Tamandua tetradactyla: one gene and its partner. The protein of the gene in region 1 binds, or shares a complex with, the protein of each later gene. Links are inferred from orthologs where the notes say so. Each region holds a gene or a part of one and is shown in the gene's direction. Other genes may lie near its edges.

What was found.
Region 2: the proteins of MDC1 (region 1) and PELI1 are in contact, whole or in part, in a crystal structure (PDB 9IF9), measured with the Homo sapiens proteins. The link is inferred for Tamandua tetradactyla from reciprocal best matches to the Homo sapiens genes MDC1 and PELI1. Residues at the interface, in NP_055456.2 of Homo sapiens: Glu761, Asp762, Ser763, Glu764, Thr765, Gln766, Pro767, Phe768, Asp769; in NP_065702.2 of Homo sapiens: Arg104, Ser105, Thr106, Glu107, Thr115, Asp116, Val130, Gln131, Ser132, Thr133, Ile134, Ser135, Arg136, Phe137, Thr185, Asn186, Thr221, Arg222, Ser223, Ala224, Cys247.

What each region holds. Positions count from the first base shown.
Region 1 is NC_135331.1:85,598,490-85,610,357, reverse strand, and holds the start of MDC1 (mediator of DNA damage checkpoint protein 1), read left to right. Parts: upstream 1-6,828; 5' UTR 6,829-6,950; intron 6,951-6,960; exon of another isoform or gene 6,961-7,157; intron 7,158-7,279; exon of another isoform or gene 7,280-8,003; intron 8,004-8,757; 5' UTR 8,758-8,760; coding exon 8,761-8,896; intron 8,897-9,523; coding exon 9,524-9,904; intron 9,905-9,966; coding exon 9,967-10,063; intron 10,064-10,339; coding exon 10,340-11,760; intron 11,761-11,868. Other genes in the region: TUBB (tubulin beta chain), read right to left, coding at 363-1,420, 1,706-1,816, 2,091-2,199, 3,619-3,675. UniProt on the Homo sapiens protein: Histone reader protein required for checkpoint-mediated cell cycle arrest in response to DNA damage within both the S phase and G2/M phases of the cell cycle.
Region 2 is NC_135343.1:37,212,688-37,224,461, reverse strand, and holds the start of PELI1 (E3 ubiquitin-protein ligase pellino homolog 1), read left to right. Parts: upstream 1-6,611; 5' UTR 6,612-6,861; exon of another isoform or gene 6,862-7,025; intron 7,026-11,774. UniProt on the Homo sapiens protein: E3 ubiquitin ligase catalyzing the covalent attachment of ubiquitin moieties onto substrate proteins. Involved in the TLR and IL-1 signaling pathways via interaction with the complex containing IRAK kinases and TRAF6.

The sequences.
Region 1 (11,868 bases):
TGTTCTAAATGGGATCCGCATTAGACCCAGCATTTTGGAGAAATGACTTAAGAGCAGAGAAAGTATCATTAACTAGACAGATGGGAGAAGTAGGTACCAGAAGAAAATACAGGGTTACCCAGAATGGCAGAAATCTAGGTTTCTCAGAGTGGAAAGAGAGAAGAGACATTCAACAAACAGCAAATTATTTATTGAGTGCCTACTATATGTCAGGCACTGTTCAAGAACCACCCCCCTGCAAAAGGGAAAAAAAAAGAAAAAAAAAAAACCAGGCAGAAAATGCAAATTCTGAGGGAGAGGAAAGGGGCAGCAGACAAGGAAGAAGGCTGAAGAAACTAAGCCTGAGGTGATGGGGTTCTGCCTTATGCCTCTTCTTCGGCCTCTTCACCGAAATCCTCTTCCTCTTCTGCGGTGGCATCCTGGTACTGCTGGTACTCGGAGACGAGGTCGTTCATGTTGCTCTCAGCCTCGGTGAACTCCATCTCGTCCATGCCCTCACCTGTGTACCAGTGGAGGAAGGCCTTTCGGCGGAACATGGCAGTGAACTGCTCCGAGATGCGCTTGAAGAGCTCCTGGATGGCAGTGCTATTGCCAATGAAGGTGACTGCCATCTTGAGGCCACGGGGTGGGATATCGCAGACAGCCGTCTTGACATTGTTGGGGATCCATTCCACAAAGTAGCTGCTATTCTTGTTCTGCACATTGAGCATCTGCTCATCCACCTCCTTCATGGACATCCGCCCGCGGAAGACAGCAGCCACAGTGAGGTACCGGCCATGGCGGGGGTCACAGGCAGCCATCATGTTCTTGGCGTCGAAGACCTGCTGGGTGAGTTCGGGCACAGTGAGAGCCCGGTACTGCTGGCTGCCACGGCTGGTCAGAGGGGCAAAGCCAGGCATGAAAAAGTGGAGACGGGGGAAGGGCACCATATTGACTGCCAGCTTACGGAGGTCAGCATTGAGCTGGCCAGGGAAGCGAAGGCAAGTGGTGACACCGCTCATGGTGGCTGAGACGAGGTGGTTCAGGTCTCCATAGGTTGGTGTGGTCAGCTTGAGGGTGCGGAAGCAGATGTCGTAGAGGGCTTCGTTGTCAATGCAGTAGGTCTCATCTGTGTTCTCTACCAACTGGTGGACCGAGAGGGTGGCATTGTAGGGCTCAACCACTGTGTCAGACACTTTGGGTGAGGGAACCACGCTGAAGGTGTTCATGATACGGTCAGGATACTCTTCACGGATCTTGCTGATGAGCAAGGTGCCCATTCCAGAGCCTGTGCCCCCGCCCAGCGAGTGGGTCAGCTGGAAGCCTTGCAGGCAGTCACAGCTCTCGGCCTCCTTCCTCACCACATCCAGGACCGAATCGACCAGCTCGGCCCCCTCTGTATAGTGGCCCTTAGCCCAGTTGTTGCCTGCCCCAGACTGACCTGGAAAGGAGTTCAGAGGTAAGCTTAATTAAGAAGGTTTGGAAGCTATGTGACCATACATCTACCTTTTATCTTTTACAATAATTCCTTTAGATGTATTTCCTTTCTCCCTCAGCTGTAATGTATCCATCCTCATAATTTACTAGTTAGGGCAGTTACCACCACTACCCTCCTCCTTCAGATTTTATAACTCTCTAAAAACTCTCCACTACAACTACCTCCAAACCTTTTCTATTTTCACACACCTAAATAAATTGAATATGATGGTATCTACTAACAACTCACCAAAAACAAAGTTGTCTGGTCTGAAGATCTGGCCAAAAGGACCTGAGCGAACAGAGTCCATAGTCCCAGGTTCTAGATCCACCAAGATAGCACGAGGAACATACTTGCCACCTATAGGGGAGAAAGTACAGGAATGAGAATTGGCAGGTGGGGAAGATAAATAACATATTAGGGTTAGGAAAGAGCCTGAGACCTAGACTTGTGATTCCAAACCCTGCCACCAGGTGGCAGCAGAACTAAGCTTTGGTTCCAGGTGGGAGACGGGGAAGAAATCAAAATGAAAGGTCTCCAAAGGACGAGGATTCATCCAAAGGGGGTTCCTCGGGAATGGAGACATGAAGCAGGATAATATAGGACCCCAAGCCTTCGGGGCACCTTCTCTCACCTGTGGCTTCATTGTAGTACACGGAGATGCGATCCAGCTGCAGGTCGCTGTCCCCATGGTAGGTGCCGGTAGGGTCGATGCCGTGTTCATCGCTGATGACCTCCCAGAACTGCCGGTTAAGAATAATGAGCCCACAACCGCTCAGATCCCAACTATCACCTTCTTTCCCCTATTTTAATTCCAGTCGCGCCCATGGTAGGTGCTGTACGAGGGCCCGGCATCCCCTCAATCCCCCAGCCACACCCTTCCCCTAGACACCCACAGCCCCGGGGTAAGCTGCAGCTTCTGTGTTTTATTCAGCTCATTCACGGTTTGGGGAAAGTGATGTGGGACTGAGAGGACCCGGAGGTATCAGGCACCCGGGTGGGGGAAGAGAGAGGGAGCAGGCGGACCCGCCTAGGTAAGCCCCGCCCCCGCCGGGCCCCGCCCCTCCACGCAGCAAACAAAGGGCCGCTGGACGCAGAACTGCAGCTGCAGCCCAGGCCCCCAACTCGGCCTTCATGTGACTGCAGCGCACGCGCGGGTCTAGCCGCCGACAATGGGAGGCGTCGCGCGTGGGAGAGGCGGGGCCAAGGGCTTGAATTACGGGCGCGTGGGGCGGCGCCCGGCTGGGGCTCGCGCGCCCCCGCGGGCCAGCAGGACCGCATTGTCCTCGCGCGCCTAGGGCGCCCCGCCCCGCCGGGCCCGCCCTTCTGCTACAACGTAGCAGCGGCACTTCCTCCCGTCCCCTCCCCCGCTACACTGTAACCGCGCGCAAAAAAAAAAAAAAAAAAAAACCCTAGGCCTTGGAATTTTATTCCTTCGCTAAGTTTCTTTTTCTTGCTTTAAAGGAGGGTTGCCCCTCTCCCACTTAGTCTCCTACGGCTATTTTAAGCGGGCATGCTCCCTCCTTTTCTTCCACCCTCTCCCTATCTGTTCACTCCGTTAAAGGATCTCGTTAAGGAAAAATGAAATAAAATTGATCACGTACATTTTATCCTTTCATTCACTTAAAACTACAGGGACCGGAGCCGTGCGGGGGTCCCTTATCTTTTGTTAAGGGGGCCGGGCAGCAGTCCACATGGCGCATTGTACCCCACCCCACCCCCAGTTAGGCTAGACGCCCTCTGCAGCTGCCCGCCCAGCCTCGCCCCTTCCCCCTCGGGCTTCGCCCTAGGAACTCCCGCCAAGGGGGGGGGGGGGCGAGCGCGAGATGCACATGGGGCAGGCTCGCCTCGCTTTGTCTCGGGAGGTTTCCGCATCTCGCTCCCCAGTCCTCGGACCGTTAGGAGATCCTCTAAGTGCAATTTTACAACTCCTCGGTTTTCCCGCCCCCGAAACCCGAAGGGTCCTTTCCGAAAGTGAGCCTGCCAAGAAAAATAATCCCCCATTTTCCAAAGGCAAATTCTAGCCACAAATATGTATAAAACTTCCCCCCCCCCAGCTTAAGGATGGAGAGCACGAATATCCCACAATCATTCTTCATAATTTAAGGCTTTCCTTCTTCCTGCTCAAAAGAAATACAGTTAAAGAGATTTAAAATCCTTACCTTGGCACCGATCTGGTTGCCACACTGACCAGCCTGGATGTGCACGATTTCCCTCATGGTTAAAATTTATTTTAACTTTTTGCTCGCCTCAAAGTGTGTGCGGGGCAAGAGAATGATATGGAATCTTTCCCTCCGCGGGTCGCAAGCTGGCAGGATGGCTCGTGGCCCGGAGGCTGGAGCAGCAAGGTCCGAACGCGGCAGCAGGAAGGCTTTGAGAGGGAGAAAGAAGGAGGGGGGAGGGAGAGGGAGGGAAGGCGGGCAGGGCGGGGCGCGCGTGCGCGGCGGCTGGGAGGCGGGAGAACCGGCCCCGCGCGGCGGTCGGGAGACAAAGCCTCATCCACGCTGGCCCTGATTAGTTGATGGCAGTCATATACCAGCCGTCCATTGGTCTCGACTCGCAGTGGACGAGCGCGCTCCTCTCTGGGAGTTGTAGTCCTCTATTGTTGTCCACGCCGCAAAATGAGGTGACTAAAGGGTGGGTACCGGGTGATTTTTTTTGTGTTTCGTTTTCTTTTGTTCTTTTAATGAAAAATGATGACCTTGTGCAAGATCGCTTTCTTTACTCCTGAGTTTTTTTGCACAGAAAGGGAGTTTTCGAAGATACAGGAATTGGGAAGACTGAGATGCCAGGCGTTGGGAAGTGGGGTGGGCACGCCCAGAAAGCTCCCTGCTGCCTTAGCTCTTGAAAAGATAGGAATGCTTAGTTCAGCGAAAACTGGGGAGAAATGCGGCACCCTGCTCTGCTACCCGACGTCTGGTTCTTTGTTGACCAAACCTGAACTCCAGTAAACCACTGCGCCTCAGGAAGCAGTTGGGGATTGTCCTTCTCTTATTTATTCGCTTGAGAATTTTCGAATGATGTTTCGAAAGAGAAACAGTATTGCAGCAAGGACTTTCCAGGATAGAGATGTAGCTGCTGGAGGGTATGTTCAAAGAATAAGTTGAATGGTTTAGGCAAGTTGATGTCAGAGTACTGTGAAGCCAGAAGTTTCAGTCCAGTAGGGAATCTGGGCCTCATGTGGGCGTTGTAGACATCTTGGTTTTCTTGTCAAGCAAGGAACTATGGAGTTATATGTCTGATAGAAATAGCAGGGTCTTTCCAGCTTGCCTTTCTAGGTACTTTGATGAAGGCAATGTTTTTTCAGTTTGCTGCTTTCATTTGTAGCTAACTTCAAGAGCTACAAATGAAATGGGGAGAATGGGGGGATCGATTGGTAAGGAGAAATCGGATGGGATCCAACAATGCCACTCTGACCAAAAGGGAAAAGAAGTGTAACAAATAAGGTATCAGTGGCTGAGAGAGGTCGAGAGGCTACTCTGGAGGTCACTCTTAAGCTTCAGTTAGACATCGTTACCTATCATAACTTGCCAAACCCTAACCAAAATCATTCTTGCCAATCCTAAGAGTGCCCAGGGAAATATATAAGATTCTACCAAAGTTCCGTGCATTAGGGTTACCTACAACCTCCAGATGGGTCCCTGGACAAGATAAATCCTGAATGCAGAGGGGCCATCCTCTCCAGAACATCAACTGGTTCCATCCCCCATCCCATATTTTCAACAGCCCCCTCCAACGTGAAAAAGTTAGAATGGACATAGCCCAAATACCCCTAGAGAGTGGGAGAAAGCTCAAAGATGATGGTGTAGTTATACAGAGAAGGTAGGGTTTAACAAATGAGTATGATTGCTGAATCATTCATTACATTGATATTTATTTTCATCTCCAAGTGTCTTAGAGCAGCTAGAAGTAAAAACCTAAAATTGTGGAAGTGTGACCCATACCAACCTCTGAAAACTGTTCTACAACTAATTGTTGCCATTTGCTTTGAAATTTATTGCTTTTTTGTATATGTTATTTTTCACAAAAAAAGTTGATTGTGATTATAAAAGCACAGCTATATGATGATATTGTGAATGTGCGCTTTGGATGATTACATGGTATGAGAATATATAATATAAATAATCTTAAAAATTGGATGGGATGATGTCACAGTAGCTTGCCTTTTGTTCCCAAATATCCAGTCATTTGATAGATATTACGTGTTCATCAAACCAGAAGCTAGAGATACAAAAATGATTAAGAACTAGCGTCCTGTCTTCCAGGACCTCAGTTTGATGAGAGTTGGATAAACATAGTAACAATAGTGTGGGAAGCACTATAATAGAGATGTGATTTCAAGGTCGTCATTGTTAATTCACATTGGATTTAATACATTTCTCAAGTCACCTTCTAAATAATGGAATATCAAGTTGTGTAAGACCCTTCCTCATCTAGTCACTTTAGATAGAATATTTTATGTTCTATACCATGATCACAACGAAAGCCATTATTTTGTGGCAGTGGAAAGAGTTTAGAACTTAGAGGACTTGTTTCGAATTTATCTCTACCTTACATTAGCTTTAGGAACCTTGGCAAGTCGTTTAAACCGCAGAGCTTCAATTCCTACGTTTGTTAAAATCTAGTTCTGCCTCTTGTATTATGTGGTCAGAATTAAATGAGAACTAATGGGAAAAATAAATGCATTTCAAAGTGCTGCAATTCTTTTCATGTCAGCTTGAGATACTGAAATGATTTTATTATCCTCCCACTCGTTGAAAGGTGCGGACAGATCTCAGTAATCCTTTTAAGACGGTTAGCCCAGCAGTTCTCTCTGTTCGCCTAGGGATCTGTGCTTTAGGAAAATGACCTCAAAATCTCCGTCAGTGATGTATCCCCAAGAAGAAATGACATGACCTCTGCAGAACAAGACAAGTCAAAAGGAAATGAAATTCCATTGCTATGAGGAGTCCTCAAGCGCCACGCCTACGGCCTGTTCGCACTGCAGCCTGCAGCCACGACTGCAAGCCGCAACCCACTTCTCATGAGTCAGCGGACACCATGTCTGGGAGGACCGAGAAAGGACGCCCTGGCCGCACCAAACGCATTGAGCGATGGCTATCGTATAGCCCTTCTATCCTCCGCAAGCAGCGGGCGCCAAACTCTATGGTCACGGTTTGGAAATCTGCGCGGGAAGTGGGCAGTGAGCGGTGAAGCGGCGGTGGGTTGTCCCTTGGAACTGCCCAATCGAGGTGCGTAGTTGCCTGCGCGCAGAGCAACATCGGATTAGTGTCTCGCAGTGTCCTGCGAGAAGCTGCCCGGGCGGGGCGGGGTGGGGCATGCCGGGGGTGGAGTTTGGGCTGCTTCAGCGCGGGAGGCTCCCCCAATCAGCGTGCAGCCGAGCTGTGAAGACAGCCTCAGGAGCCAATCAGCGAATCGGCTCCTTCCCGGCGTCCGCGCTCGCGCCACCTGGATCGCGGCCGTTACTAGCGGCGCGCGCGACGACTCAAAGTAGGTGAGTTCTGGACGCCCAGTCCGCTGCTCCCCGGGTGCCATCTTGATTCTCCCGGAGGGCGGGAGGGGCGTGCCCTAGGGGCGCCTGGGCGGAGGCGACTCGGAAGTTTGCTTCTGGGATTGTCCTGCCCATCCGCACCTGACGCCCCGCCCCGAGCTTAGGTCCGAAGACGCAGGGAGACGTTGGATCCTGAGGGGACCCATTGGTGTAAGGTTCCAAGATGGTGGCCCTTGGGTTGGAGTCAAGGGTCGTGGGGGACCCGCTTAGTTGTTCACAGGGTCGGAGTTAACACTTTTTCCTACTTGTCACCAGTCAATGGTTTCTCTCTAGGGTGGCATCTTTTTAAGTGGATTCTACCCGTGTTATTTTGAGTTTACATCTCCTTCCATTTGTTCTTTTTTCGATAAGCTCGGCGATGTAACTCTAGGAGGGCAAGGTTAATGGCCCTGCCCACGAATGGGTGTTGAAGGCCCAAATGAAAGTAATAGTTCCAGTGTGATAAGAACTGTTAGGAGAGACACGAGTCCATTGATCCCTGTGGAACACACAGGATCCACCAGGCGTCCTGGAAAGGCTTTGCTGAGGAAATGACATTTAAACGGAATTTTGAAGAATAAGTGGGAGTTGAACAAGGAAACTAGGAGTGAAGGGCAAGGGCAAGCTGGGCTAAAGCAGGCAGGTGTAAGGAGATGCGGGGATAGTATGTTGAGAGATAGGGGAGAAGGCCCATTTGGCTGAACCATAGGCTGTTGGGGCAGGAAGGTTAGTGCATTGCTGGACATGAGGTTCAGCTAATTGAGGGTTTTACTAAAGAGTTTAGGTTTTTGTTTTGTCCTGGGATCATGGAAAGCCTTCAACGGGTATTGACAGAGGCGAGACATTATCTGGGTGATCTTGGACATGTTCTTTAACACATCTGTGTCACAGGTTCTTTTATCAGAAAAATGGGAGCTACCAGCTACCTTAAAGTGTTTTGTACAGGTTAAGTGAATCAGTCAGTGTGAATTAATTAAAACAGTGCTTTGCACAAAGCAAGCCTCTGTATGTCACCAGGTATTGTGATTCTTTGCAGTTTTCTCTGACCACACTATATGGCAAAGTGTAAAACACATGGACCTTGCAGCCAGAAGCACATTTATTCCTGTCCTTTCCATTTGCTGTGTTATCCTGAGCAAATGATTTAATATTTTTAGTCTTAGTTTCCAAAATGCCTTTCTCATATGGCCGTTAATGCCAGACATGTAACACAATGCCTGGGCCATAGTTAATGTTCAGCAAACGTTTGTTCCCTTTAAAATTATGTTTTTCAGGGTGGGCAAAGGTGGCATAGTGGCAGAGTTCTCACCTGCCATGCCAGAGACCCGTGTTGGCTTCCTGGTGCCTGCCCATACAAAAAAAAAGAAAAATTATGTTTTTCAAACTGAATTATGACCCAAGAGTAAATAGTGAAATCAGTGTAGTGGTTTGCAAATTAGCATTTAAAAAACAGAGAATTTAAAAAAAGAATGAAAAGATATCAGTGTATTGTAAATAGTAGGGTTTAGCATTATTTCTCAAAACCGTATTTTTATAAATAAGCACAAAGGTTTAAATATATCTGTACCAGGAGCCATATCATTTTCTACTTTATGTCATCATCAAAAATGTTTGAGAAATACTTCAAAAGACTATCGAGAGAATGAATGAGAGAAAAAGAAGCATCAGTTTCCACAACTATCCAGTTTTACCTCCAGTTATCAATTTCTTCTCTGATGTTGTGTGTGTATGAACTAATGGTGAGGACAATGATAATGTGTTTCTTTCCCAGGTCATGGAAGATACCCAGGTTATTGACTGGGAGGTTGACGAAGAGGAGGAGGAAGAGAGAGCCAGTGAATCCTTGGGTTATAGTTTGGAGCCCTTAGGGCGACTGCATATCTTCGGCAGTGCCCATGGACCAGAAAAAGGTCAGGGGATATTGGGTACTGAAGTGTTTGTATAAGTCGTTTACTTTTTTTGTGAGGAGGTATCTGGAGGGTTGCAGGAGGCTTATATATATTTCAAGGAGATTTGAAAAAAATTTTTTTATCAGAAATGGAAAAGATGCTATTTGAGTTTATTGTTCTAATCTAGTGCCCTAGACTCAGTGGGAGTGATTTTACTTTCGTAGGAGAAGATGGAGAGATTCAAATTAAAATTCAGGGTGGAGGGATATGGCTTATATATATATATATATATATACGCTGTACAGTGGGGGTCACATTTCATTCTTTTCCATTGAATATCCCAGTATCACAGCACTATTTTTGTTTGCTGTTTTTTTTTGTTTGTTTAAGTACATCGGCCAGAAATCAAACCTGGGTCTCCTGCATGGGAGGCAGAGGATTCTACCACTGAACTAACATGCACTCCCTTGGAGAGAGTATTGAATATGAATAATACATTGTGTATACTCTTCAGTGCCTAGATGTTCTAGAGCCTTTTGTTTTTCTAATGCAAGTGGGGGCCTTGAGTGAGTAGAGAAAAACGTAACAGCAACATTTTCCTAAGAAAAGACTCTGGCCTTGGAACCTATCTTCCTTTCTAATTCTTAGATTTCCCACTATATCTTGGGAAGAATGTGGTAGGCCGAAAGCCTGACTGCTCTGTGGCCCTGCCCTTTCCGTCCATCTCCAAACAACATGCAGTAATTGAAATCTTGGCTTTGGACAAGGCACCTCTCCTCCGTGATTGTGGGAGCCTCAATGGTACTCAAATCCTCAGGCCTCCTAAGGTTCTGAGCCCTGGGGTCAGTCATCGTCTGAGGGACCAGGAGCTGATTCTCTTTGCTGACCTGCCTTGCCAGTACCATCGCCTGGATGTCCCCCTGCCTTTTGTCTCCCGAGGTACCCTAACTGTTGAGGAGACACCCAGGGTACAGGCAGGAACTCAACCCCAGGGCCTTCTGTTGGCTGAGGACTCAGAGGAAGAAGTAGGTAAGTTTGTGGTGTTGGGAGGCTCGGTGAACAGAGGCAGATGGGGTATGTAAAATTGTCAGCTTGCTCCTTTCTATTCTTGACAGATTTTTCTGAAAGGTGTATAGTGAAAGAATCAAAGTCCACATCTTCTCCTTTGGCAACGGTAGTGCCGGAAAGGTGAGTGCCAAAGGGCCAGACACCTGTGTCTTCAAAAGGAGAAGGAACCAGGGACTGGAGAATTGAATCTCTAATCATGAGAGTGGGCAGGGGAACCATATGTATTCACTCAGCTTAATTTTTATTGATCACCTCTGGTGCCAGATGGAGTACTAATTGCTGGAGACAGAGAAAAAAATACTACCTCAGGTCTGTCATCAAGGAGCTTATGGTTGAATGGAGTATCCCTTCCTGGGAAATAGAGTCTACCAAATCTTTCTCTTCTTCTCTTCGTAGTGATGAAGAGAGTGCTTCCCCTGCCCAGGGTAGCGGTGGGCCACCTTTTGCCTTCAACTTGGAAAGTGACACAGATGAAGAAGGTGAGCAGCCAGCATCAGGGGAGGTCTCTTCAACTTCCAGAAGAAGTGCAACTGCAGAAGCTGATGGAGTTGCAGTTGAACTCCACCTCAAAAAGAATCAGCCTTCAGCAAAGGAGGTGGACAATGAAAGAAAAGTAGAGAGTGATACAGGGAAATCAGATATGGAGGAGGACAGTGACACAGATGTGGATGATGACAGTAAGCTTACAGAAAAGCCAGCTGATGTCCACTTGGAAAGGGGCCAGTCTTCTCCCTTCATTGACAGTGATACAGATGTGGAAGAAGAGGGGATTCCTGCAACCCTAGCTGTGGTTCCTGTGAAGAAGAGGCAAATCTTCCATGGAGTTAGCACAAAGAGTCCTGGGGTGCATCTGCAAGAGAGCCAGGCTGGTAGTGATGCAGATGTGGAGAAGGGTGAGGCCCCACCACCTTTGGAGAGAAGCCAACCCTCCATAGTGCTCAACAGCGACACAGATGATGAGGACGAAATCTCAGCAGCACTTGCTTTGTCACTTCTCAAAGAGAGCCGAACTATTACAGGAAACAAAGATGTTGATGTCGAAGAGGACAGGGCCCAATCTATGGTCCTTCCAGAACAAAGCCTAACCTCTGCTGGGAGAGACAGTGACATAGATATGGAAGAGGAAGAGCTCCAAGTGGAAAAGAGACAGTCTCTCCCCAAGTGCCACACAAACAAGGATGGAGCTCTTGTTTTAGCACTTTCAGAAAAAAGCCAGCCTCTCCCTGGGGATAGTGATGTGAATGTTGTAGAAGATAAGGACTTATTTGGGACCCACTTGGAGAGAAGCCAAACTTCCACCATGGTGAACATTAACACTGAAGTGGAGGAGGAAGTCCCGTCAGGGCCAGCTTTTACACATCTGGAGAAGCATAAGGTTCCTGAGGAGAGAACAAATAAAACAGATAAGGAAGCAGAGGGGAATCCAGCAAAGGTGCCTGTGGTACATCTAGAGGAAGCCCAGCTTCCTCCAGACTGTGAAATGGATGCAGAGGAGGGCATGTCCTTAACAACCTCAGCAATGGCAGATGTAAGAAAGAGCCAGCTTCCGGCAGAAAGGGATGCTGGGACAGAGTGGGCTGCAGCTGTTCTCAAGCGGGAGAGAGCACTTGAGGCGGGCGCCCAGGGTGGGTCACCTGTGACACAAGTGGAACAGGACCTTCTCCCTGTCTCAAGGGAGAACTTAACACATTTGGTGGTGGGAACAGGCACTCCCGGGGAACCCACCCAGCCACATAGAGAGGGAGCCCAGACCCCCACAGAAAGGGAGAGAGAACCACATGTGCATGGGATCAAGGATTCTGAAGACAGTCATGATGGTAAGTAATGGCCTTTCTTCCTCTCTTGACCCCTAATAAAAGAACAGTTGTAGGGGTTGGAAGAGAATAGTACAGATGAACTAAGAAGTTAGAATCAGTATGATTTTC
Region 2 (11,774 bases), on another chromosome or scaffold:
CCATGTTGACTGTGAGCTATTTGGAAACTTTAAGGACATTAGGGGAGAATAATTTATTTGGGGAGGAATGTTGAAAGCCAGGAATTCTGACAGATAACCTATTTATCGGAACGTACTACATGCACATTTTATTATTCTCAAATCTGAGAAGCTCAGCAGAAGAGTCCAATATACAATCCAGAGGTCAGATATGGCCTTCAGATTCCCAAAGGGAAATCTGCTTGAAATTTTTATTGAAAACAAAAATACTTTTAGAGCTCACAAACAAATAGAATTATTTGCTGTTTTAAAATATGAGAAATTTGGTCTAAACGTGAAAAGCTATGTCCATTTGCCACAGATGAAATATTTGTAATGAAAGGAGAAAAACAAGTTTTCAATGGTTTCTTCAAATCATAGGAAATGATTGGGGTGTCAAATTTCTTCTGCATCATTTACAAGTAAATTAGATTTTTTGCATGTTTTAGAGAAAGGTATCAATTTTGGGATTTTCCCCTTGATTATATCCCAAATACTGTTCTCATGTATTTTGGGGCAGAGAGTAGAAAGAGAGCTTTTAATGATTTTTTTTCTAGTCAGATGATGGAGGACATGTTGAAATTTACTAAGATGCTTCCCCAAACCCAAAACTTTTTAGAATTTAAGAGATTCAAAACATTTATTAGTACCCCAGGATTCATTTTCTTATGAAATGACTAGATTATATCAAATTTGAAACTGCAGATAAGCAACAAAAGGATAACTGCTTTGGTTGGTCAAGGAAATGTAGGTATTAAAAGAGATATGTAGACTGAGCAGATGATTAATTGGAGCACATTCATTTTCTATGACTAAACTGCCCCGAATCCAAGAATTGCAGATTTTGAAGAATTATTCAGAACTGTATGATGGAGATAAAAATCACAATTTCAAAAAGTTATTCACAGATTTTGACACATAAATGAATGCTATTTTTTCCACGTGACTTTGGAGTACAAAGTTCAACATATGTCTAAATTGTGGTGCATCTTTCCTATTATTGTAGCTCAGTTTCAAAGTTCTCTCTGTATATATATACTTATATATAGACTTAGCATTTTCTGTATGTCAAGGACTGTGCTAAGCACTTTACATGTATCTTCTCCTGCAAGAAAAACTGATTGAACTAATAGTAAATGATGCTGACCTTGGAATTTTAGCTACAAATATATGAACCCCCAAGTTATGTTGAAGTTGCTGGCAATATGGGGAAATTCTGGACAATACGTGGGTCTACCTGATTCTGAGAAATATAGTCTCTTTCATGAGATTATGATAGTGTGGTGGCTATTCTGATTAGGTTCAGCAGCACATAACACAAAATGTAAAATGATGATAACTTTAAACAAGATAGAAGTTTGTTTCTCTCTCAAGAAAAGACGTCATGAGGTGGAAGGTCCAGGGCTGTCATGTCAGCTCCATGATCATTAGGGAACTAGTTTTCTTATGTTTCTGCTACTCAAGTCAAGCCAATTTTTAGGATTTCATTTTATCTCCACTATTGACTTACCATCAATACCTGCTTATTTTGAGTGGCAGTTTGCAGACTCTTATGGATTTTAACTTAGCAAATAATATTATAATACTTCATATAATACTTCATAATGTAAGATCTTTCTAATATACTTTCATTTCCCCCTTCCATCCTCTACTCTATCAATCATTTTACTTCTACATATGTTATGGACCCCATGATTCAGTGTTACTGTTTTTTCTTTAAATAGTCAATTATAGTTTTTTAAAAACTGAAATGAAGGGGGGAAACAGTTTTCATTTACTCACATATTTACCATTTCTGGCTTTCTTTGTTCTCAAGTATAAATCCAAGTTTTCATGTGGTGCCGCTTCTCTTATGCTGATAATAATATTTCTTGTAGTGCAGTTCTGTTGGAGACATTTCTCAGATTTTACATTCCTTAGCCTTTACTTTTTTTACGTGGACAGGCACCTGGAATCGAACCCAGGTCCTCTGGCATGGCAGGCAAGCATTCTTGCCTGCTGAGCCACCATGGCCTGCCCCTTAGCCTTTACTTTTGAAAGGTATTTTCTCTGGCTATAGAATTCTACATGACAGACTTTTTTTTTTTTTTTTTTTTTTTTTTAATTTCAGCACTTTAAAAATGCCTTTTCGTTGTCTTCTGACCTGCGTAGTTTCTCATGACAGGGCTACTGAATTTTAGTCCTTGTTCTTCTGAACATCACGTGCCTCTTTTCCTCTGGCTGCTTTTAATAGTTTCTTCTTACCATTGGTTTTCAACAATGTGATGATATCTTTTGCAATGGTTTGTGCGAGTGTTGTTGTATTTACCCTTTTATGAGTTTCTTGACCTTCTTGAATCCGTGGGTTTATAATTTTTATCAAGCTTGAAAATATTTTCAGCCATATAACTTCAAATAATGTTACCGCCCCCCCCCATCCTTTTCTCATCTGGAATTCCAATTACAAATAAAACAGGCCACTTGATACCCCATAGATCACTGAAACGCTGTTCTTTTCTGCGTGTATGTGTGGTTTATTTCAGTTAGATTTTATTGCTGATAAAATAAATTTTATTTTATTTTATTTTAAGTTTACTGATTTTTTTTCTTAGGTGTGTTTAGTCTTCTGTTAATCCTATCCAATGAAGTTTTCGTTTCGTTTTAATTTTAATCTCCAGAAATTCCTTTTTTTTTTTCTTCCAATATTTAGTTCTTCTATGCTTAGGAGTTCATGTGCACCTTCAGCATTGGAACATATTTATAACTATACTAATGTTGTTGGCTGCTAACTCTATCATGCCTGTCTTTCCTGGCTCTGTTTTTGTTGATTTACTTTTCTCCTGTTTGTGGATCACATTTTCCTGCTTCTATCTATGTCTAACGATTTTTTTTTATTAGATGCAAGGCATTAGAAATTCGGTCTTGTTGAGTGCTTGATTTTGTTGCACTCCTTTAAAGAGTGCTGTATTTTTCCTGGTAGGAAATACTTCTGGATTAATTTGATCTATTCGAGACTTGTTTTTAAGCTCCTTTATGATGTGTCTAGAAAAAGCCTTTATTTGGGAGTTAATTTTGCCTCACTTCATTCACTTCTGAATGCCCCATATATTCAATGAGGTCTGTTCACTCTAGCTGGATTTCCAGCTCCATTTGGGCTTCCCTTTTATTGTTCTTTCCTTGGAAGTTATTTTTGTCTAGCCAAACACTAAAGGGAACCTCTAGGCAGATTTCTTTAACTCTCCACATAGCTCACTTCTCTCTAGAACGCTGACCTCCTTTTAACTCCACTATCTATTCAACCCAGCAAGATTTTGGGGTTCAAGTTTTCCTTCTCTGCTGGTAGTCTGGAAATTGCTCCTGAAAGAATGCCTGGATGATGTCTGGTTTCATCTCAATTGTTTCCCTTTTATCAGGTATCATAGTCCTGACCACCTGTTGCCTAACTGAAAAGTCATTTCCTATATTTTGTCCATTTTTCTGATTGTTAATGGTGGATTGATAACTCCAAATCCTGTTACTCTCTCATGGCTAAAAGTCTAGTTAAAATCATATATGTTTGAATAGCTAACAAGCTATGCTTTAGCACAAATATGAGTCTGCCTTCTGTCTGCACCACTCCTCTGAAAAATTCTCAGTGAGGCCAGAACTACTAGACATGGAGGGAGCGTTCCAGGGCAGGGGCTGTGGCAACCAGGGAAGCAAGAAAATATTCAGAGGGGCTTGGGGCAGCCTACATTAGTGAACAATGATTTCATATGGAAGTATCTGGCAATTTTTCAATGAGTATGGCCTTACTGATGCATGCTAGCTGAATGAGAGTCATGCTCCTAATTCTCTTGCTATGTGTAGTCATTTCCATGATCTTTCTGCCCATCCCTTAATTGCTGGTATTACCCAGAATACTACTATTGAGTCCTCCTTTTCTGCTAAGTGTACTCTTTCCCACCCATTCCCATAATTTCAACTATTATCTACACGTTGGTATATTCCAATTCTATGTTCTGTCTTGATCTCTTCTCTTCCTAGAGCCTTAGAATATATATATATATATAATTGCCCACTCTACTTCTCCACCTAGGTATCTCAGAGTCATCTGAAGCTCAACATGCCAAAAGTGAACTCATCCAATTTCTTCTCAAACCCTGTTTCTTCTCCTGTATTCTCTAACTCAGCATATGGCACTACTAGCTCATAATCACAGAAACCAGAAATCTGGGAGCCATCCTTGAGTCCTTGTGTTGCAGATATTTTGATCCCCTTCTCAGCATCTATTCTTCTTTGTCTGGGTCATCTCTCAGTTTTCATTGGGCTACCCATACCTACTCATCACAGCCCATGTGCTTTTGGGGAAGTTGGCTCTTTTGGCACTAAGGGCAGGACATATATCTTAGTCCTAAAACGTTAAGCCTAATACCATCCCCTGACCACCTTTTTAAGTTCACATATGGACATGAAACTCAATTCTTGAGGCTTCTGAGAAAGGAGTTTCCTCTTTTTTTCCAAAATAGCTTCCAGAAGTGATTTTCTCTTCTGGTCTCTTCTTAAACCCACATGAGGAAACTTTTAGCACAGGAGTTGTTGGCAATGATCATTTCACCACAGAGCTAATACTACTGAAGGAAAAGCAATGAGACAAGAAAGAAATATGACCTTAATGACATCACTGAGCTGTTGAGTCAACCAGCCCTGTAGGCTCTCTTTTCACTGGACTTTCTAGCTAGATGGGTCAACAAATCTTTATTGGCCAAGCTAGTTAGAGTGGATTTTCTGCTGTATACAACCAAAAGCATCATAACTGACAATTTGTCCTCCACTCTCCACCCCCAAAACACAGGCAATTACTTACTAGGTTCTATTAAATCCAATTCCTAATAATATGTGATTGCCCACCATTCTGTCTCCTGCCACTGCCAGTGCTTAGTTCAGTATCTCTCTGCTTTTTCTTTCTGTAGTATTATAACAAGCCCCAGTCAGGCCACACTCCATAGGGTGACCTTTCTAAAATGCATCTATTATCAAATTCCATCTGCTTTTAACCCAGGTGTGGCTCTCCATTGCTTCCAGAAAAAAGTTCATGTTCTTTAGCATACTGTACAAGATTTCTTCCTGATCTGCACTCTCCCAAACCTTTTCAGTGTCTCCTCCTGCTATTCTCCCCATCTCCCACCATTCTACCACCAGAAATGCTGAACTATTAGCTGAAACAAAATACACTTTGTTCTCATGACTTTGGGGCATGGCCCTTCCTGTTCCCCCAGATTAGAATGCTCTCACCCATTTCTCTCTCCCTCCTCCCCTACCAAAATACACAAACACATTAACTCCTGGTCATCCTCAAGCGCAAACGTTCTTTGAAGCATCTCCTGACCTTGGTCCAGTCTGGGGTAGTTTTGTATACAAAGCCCTTGGTGCATTTGCCTATTATAGTACTTGTCACACTGAGTCTGTGTATACCTTGAAACCAAGGAATGTTTCTTTTATGTTTTTATGTGGCTACTGCTGGGGCCTCAAAGTGCTTAGGATATAATAGATGCTCAAGAAATGTTTTTTTAATGAATGAATAATTAGATGATCTGCAGACATAAATACTTCTGATCTTAAGACTTTATTTGAAAATCTTGACTTTCCCTATCTAAATGTGTTTCTGGTTTCTAAGTATTGCTCTTTTCCTTCCAGAGGTGGGGCTTTACATTGGCAGAGAAAGAAAACAGAAGAGCTAGGGACAGGTTGTCCTTAGTCCTCTGGAGATTCAGTAATGTGTCCTGTCTTTCACCACAGAACTCTATCACCTATTCATACCTGGGTGCCCAGAATGGGTGTAGACTTAGCTGACCAGTCCAGCAACATACTCATGACTTAGTTCAGACGGCTGTTCTTGCCAAATAAAAGTTTATCAATATAAATAAGGGAGCATATTTTCAACTCCCCACCTAACTTTTGAACTTACCAGTTCCTTACAAGATTTGTATTTTTTTTAATTGTAAGCCAAAACGAACGAATTCGGATTTTTTACACTGACCAAGGAAAAATATAGTGATCTTAACCCTGGACTTTACATTGCTATCCTTAAAGTTAGATATGCCTAATTGAAGAAATTAATTATGGGATTCTGATAGTGGTGATGTGTCTTAAAGTTTTAAAACCTAATGTTAAATTACAGGAAGCAACTACATTTCTACAGATCTTAAGGAAAGAAATTTAAATTTGAGTCAGTGAGGATTTGCTTGAGGGAGCCCCGAAAGGGCATATGGGCTTCAAAAACACCGAAACAATCAGGAGGAAGTTAGATTTCACTGGACACTTCAGAGTGGTGAGGCTAGGAGTTGGGGGTGGGGCGAAGTGAGATGGACTACCTAAGGGCGGGATCCCCAACAGTACCTTAATACAAGACGGGCCTTGTTCAGTCAACAGCAGCACTGAACTGCTCACTCCGTCAGTGTGTCGGTGACCATGGTAACCAAGGCACCCCCCCGCCCCCCCGAGACTCTTCCCCCGAGCATGCGCAGTACCCAGCGAGCCCGGAAGGGTCGGCAACAACAACGTATTCATTTTTTTCTTCCGTCAGAGAACTACAACTCCCAAGAGGCATTTTGGCGCCGCGTCGCCGCCTCCCATTGTGGCCCTGCCCTGTCCCCTCCCTCCGGCACCGCCTACCCCCTAGTCCCCTCCCCTCCCTCCGAGTGTGTGTCAGTGACCCAGAGGCGGTGTGAGGCGGAGGGGACCGTCGGGGGGCGCCGCCGCCGCCGCCGCCTCCACCGTCAGCACCATCCCTGCCGCGCGATCGGATTTGTCTCGAGCCCTCCGAGTGCGCGCCACAAAGCACGCTCCGCGCTTCTCCCTCCGCCCGCCGCTCCTCAGCACTCGGTGCGTTGGTCAACTTCCCCTCGCCCAGCTCGGCGGGCTGCTAGGAAGGCGGCGGTGGAGGCACGCCGCGCTGTACACACACACATACACACACACACCACACTTCACCCCCTCGATCCGGGTCTCGGCGCCGTGCTGGGGTTTCGGCCACCAACAATTGTCCGGTGAGTGTGGCTGCGGCCGCCACGGGGCGCCGCCGGAGGCTTCGCGGCGGGGCTCCGGGGCTGGGGAGGGGTTTGGGGAGGGCGCGTGCAACTTCCTCCTTAGCTTTCCCGGCGGCCGGCCGGCTCTCCCCGCCCGCAGCGCGCCCTTGCACCGGGAGGCGGGCGGAACGGAGTTTGCGGCGCCTTCATCCCGCGCTCTCGCCGGAGGAAGCGCCTTTGTCAGGAGCGGGCCCGTCGCGCCCTCCCCCACCGCCTGGGCGCGGGGCGCGCGGCGGCCAACTCCGGTGCCTGAGCCCCCAGCCGCGCTCGCCTGCTGCGGGAGGGGAGCTCTGCGGGCGCCTGGGAGGAAAAGAGAAATGAAAGAGAAACAAAGGGGGCGATGGGTTTTTCTTTTGTTTGTGCGAATCTGATAACTTCTTTCTCCTCCCTTACATAACACAGCTTCCAAGTTAGTCATTCTTTTTATTGTTATGATGACTGCCATCATCTCTGCGCGTCTGTCGCATCTCCTTTCATCTTTGGATCGCAGAGCATTTTTGAAACACTAATTAATTACACCTCTGGGGCCCCTGCGAAGCGAGTTAATAAGCCCATTTCCGTAAGTGGGTAAACTGAGGTTCGAAAGAGCTCTTTAATTGATGAATACGCTTGATCTACCGCGCCCGATGTCTTAGGATCTGAAAACATTTATGAGTAATAACTCGTTCTCGAATGCCCCGTGGAGAAGTTAAAGATGCTCATTTTACTTACAGGTTAACTCAAGTCTAAAAGAAGCCTGGGTAATTGTTAGGTAGTTCATTCAGTAATTGTCCTAACATAGTGTCTTGAATCTTAAAGCCTCAAAGGACTTGAAAAATACTCCGAGTTGGAAAATCTTAAACTCACCTTACCATCTACCTTTATTTTAATACGTGCGGGACTCTTACCAGGCATGAGAGCGGTGATGCAGTAGGCAAGATTTTTAAATGTACACTTAACAGGTTTTAATCACTTCACAGAAGGAAATGCCTTGATTTTAACATTTAAAGCACCAACAACCTTCCCATAGTTTAGTAATCAAAAAGTATGCCGACAGATGATATTAAACTCTTTATGGGTAAGGTGCTGTTGTGCTAAAGACTGAAGTTTTAAGTATATGAAAAAGCCATCTATTTCTTTTGGTTCAAAAGCTGTTTACCTTACTCTGCAAAATGCTGTTTTGTTTTCTTTTCATAGCAGATGATCTTTTGTTTCAGCATTGGCATTGTCTTTTTCTGCATTGAATATGTATTACTTTTATAATTGAGGAGACATGTTCGTTGTTTTGTTATTATTGTTCAGTTTCCACAGTATTGTGAAATTAAGTTTTTGAATTGCGAAGGTTCAGTTGTTTCAGTTCGGTTTCAGTTCACGATATGATTTGCTTGTAGCTTACAGAGAAAATGTTTTCTCAGAGTAATCAGATTTACATCCTTCAAAACATTGTTCTTATTGTACACATACAGCATATGAATACCTTATGCTTTTTACTCACACCAACAGCTTTTCTGGAGTAAAATACTGAAGTCCTAGGGCAAATTTATTTGTTTTAGAAGCTGAACAAAACAGGAAAGTATTAAAACTACAAATCAAGCATCATTTCTACTAGTTATTTTATGAGGTGACTAATGATCAGAACTGTAGTAACAGTACTTTCATTTGTCCTAAATTCTCCTTGAATTTAATTTTGTATTGCATAGTTGCTCCAGGTTTTAGATTCTGGTGGTTGCATCAGAAAATGAGAGGGAGGCATTTGCTATTTTAGTATTTTTCCCCAAGCTTCTAACTTGTTCCCTTTCTGTAGTATGTTAAAAAAGATCATGAGTTTAAAACAGTTGGGAAGTAGGAGAGTTAATGTATGTGGAAAGTTGCGTGTAGTGAAGTGATTAAAATGCCTCATCTAGTAAATTTACAGCAAACTGTCACCTCTGTTTTTATTATAAAGGTAGAGGTACTGTAATAAATAGTAATGGTATTTATTGATTTGAAAAAGTGACCTGGAAATTGTGCCATAGCAGCAGAAGTTTGGAGGAGGTGGTGATCTATGCTCTCTTTAACTTTGTCAGCTATGTGACCATACAGTTGATTATGTTGAAATTTTTCTTTACCGTTTATAAGTCAGATTTACCAGGAGTATTTGTATTTTAAGGAAGCTACCGACACTCTTGTCTTTTTTGTTCGGTCATTAGAGTCCAAAGTCAGGAGTTAGTGCTGACTGGCAGAGTCTGGCATTACAGGTTCCCTAATTTCTTTGTGACCTCTTAAAAGAAGTGACTGAGAATACTGGGTGGGGAACTGGGTCTAGTCTTGTGAACGCTACTGAGGCAGGTTTCAAGGGAAAGACTAAGTATGTTTCCATTAGACTTGTTTCAGTTTCCTTTCAGGCTGTCATTTGTATATTAAGAGTTTGTCATTTCAGGACACACTTTACTATGGATGTCTAGCAAGTCAGGTGATAAGAACTAGAGTAGTTCTGTTTTTGTGAACAAACTTCAGACAGAAGTTTCTGTTGCTAATAAGGATTTTAAGCCAAAAAATTTAGAATTGAAAACTATCTTTCAAACATATTCACATACATACATCTTAGGATGGCACATCAATCGAGTATTAAGTTAGAAAAGTTTATATGGATTATTTCATTAGATATATATTTAAATTTATATAATACTTTAAAATTTCACAATGACAAATATATGATGGCACTGAGATTGTTCTAGAAGTTTCTTTGGAAAAATTGTTATTGCAAAAGTTACATGTATGTTTTTTAATCAAAGAGAATAAATAAGGGCCAGAAGAAAGAAGGAAGAAGATCAACAGTGATGAATATCTGATGATGTTTTTAAAGAGTACAAGATTAAAGATTCTTAACAGCATTTTATATATTAAGGGATAGAATTTTTGCTTAAGTCTATAAACAGTGACTTCCTCTTAGCACTTTCTGTTTATAGATTTCTATCCATCTTTTCCCCTCTAAATATATCACAGAGAAGTAAATAGAAGTCATTCTTTCAAGGGATTTGGGTTTTGAAGTCTTTTTTTTTTTACATTTTTGATAGTGATGATGGGAGTTGTTGTTTTCTGTTTAAAGTTGACCTGTACCTTAAACTAGTCCTGGACTAATGTGTGGGAGCCTCAAGACAAATATTGACTACTAAAAGATTTGGATAGGATTTCAAGTTCTGCCACTATCTTTTCTTCATATTGTTTCAAATAGATAACTTATTCGAATATTTTTTCCTTCTATAGGCTGAAAATAATTGCCTAACATTCTATACCTATTGGGTCCTAAATAATTTTTTGCTGTTATTGCTGAGTGAATTTACAAATAATAAAGGGAAAGCAAAAAATTTCTTGAATTAAATGTCAGGGAATTTCTCATTTTAATGTAAACATATGAACATCTCATTGGAGTCTTCCAATTAGCATAGCTGCCTTTCAGAAATATACTTGAAGAAAAGAGCTTCATCAAATTACTTAAGAAAAATGAATTATACATAATTCTAAAAAGACCTACTTTTTAGGCTATTTTACAAAATGTTTTAGATTATTTTTTGCCAAATAAACTCCATTTCAGAGAACAGTTCTACATACTACTCCTTGTGTCACCCCTGTAATACATCTCAAAATACCATTTACAGAAAAATATGTTACTGGTGTCTATAAATGGGGAGAATCCTAACATCTATCATCATCTCCCAGTTGATCTTAAACATTTGTGTGGTTTAAAAAATTAGGTTTTTTTTTCAATACTCATGTAATTTACTTCCTTTTCCAGTAATTTATGTCTAATTTTTATTTTACAAAGAAATATCTTGGGAAGTTGCTAATTCTAAAAATATGTAGTACTCTCAGTTTCCCAACATCTTCTGTAATTCCTTTTCCTATTTTTTTTTGGCTTCAGTTTGCTTTTCCTCTAAACTTTCTAAAATAAGCAAAGAAGTGTTTAAACGTATTTGACAAGAAATACAGTTAGTAACTCATCATGCTAAATATCAAAATCAAGGTGCATTGACATATTTGAAGATAGAAGTACACTTTTCTTTTTGCAGAAGGCTAAAGCAGGAATAGCAAGTAGATTTCACTGTGGGTACCACCTGTGGGTATCTTGTTAGTATCTGCCCAGAGTACTATGTTTAGAAAACTGAGAGGCCTAGTTTGGACTGCAATTAGCTGTTTTTTGCTATCCTGTGGACAGTGGGCTTTTGGCATAGTGCCAGATATTGATTTTGTATTTATTAGATCCTTTTAGGTATCAGGCACTAGGCTAAGTGCTAATATCACACAAACTAAAACCTCTGCCTTCATAGTGCTTACATTCTAACAACAATACACAGACAGTAAACAGAATAAATAAAACATTTCTTGTGTTAAGGACAAATAGCCTGGTTTATTCAAATAAGAAATAGTAAGGGGTTGAGGGTATAAGATTAAAAGAAACTTGAGGTGTATCAACCAAATGCAATATATGAACCTTACTTAGTTGGATCTGATTTGCACAAACTAATTGTAAAAAAGACATTCATGGAAAATTTGGACACTGACTGGATGTTTGATGAAAAGGAATTCTAATTTTTAGGTGTGGTAATGAATTATTGCTTTTAAAAAAAGAGTTCGTACATTTTAGAGATATTTAATGAACTTTTTTAAATGATACGATACCATATCTGGATTTTTGCTTTAAAAGAATTTGGAGGGAAGAGGAGTATAGATGAAATAAGATTAGCCATATAG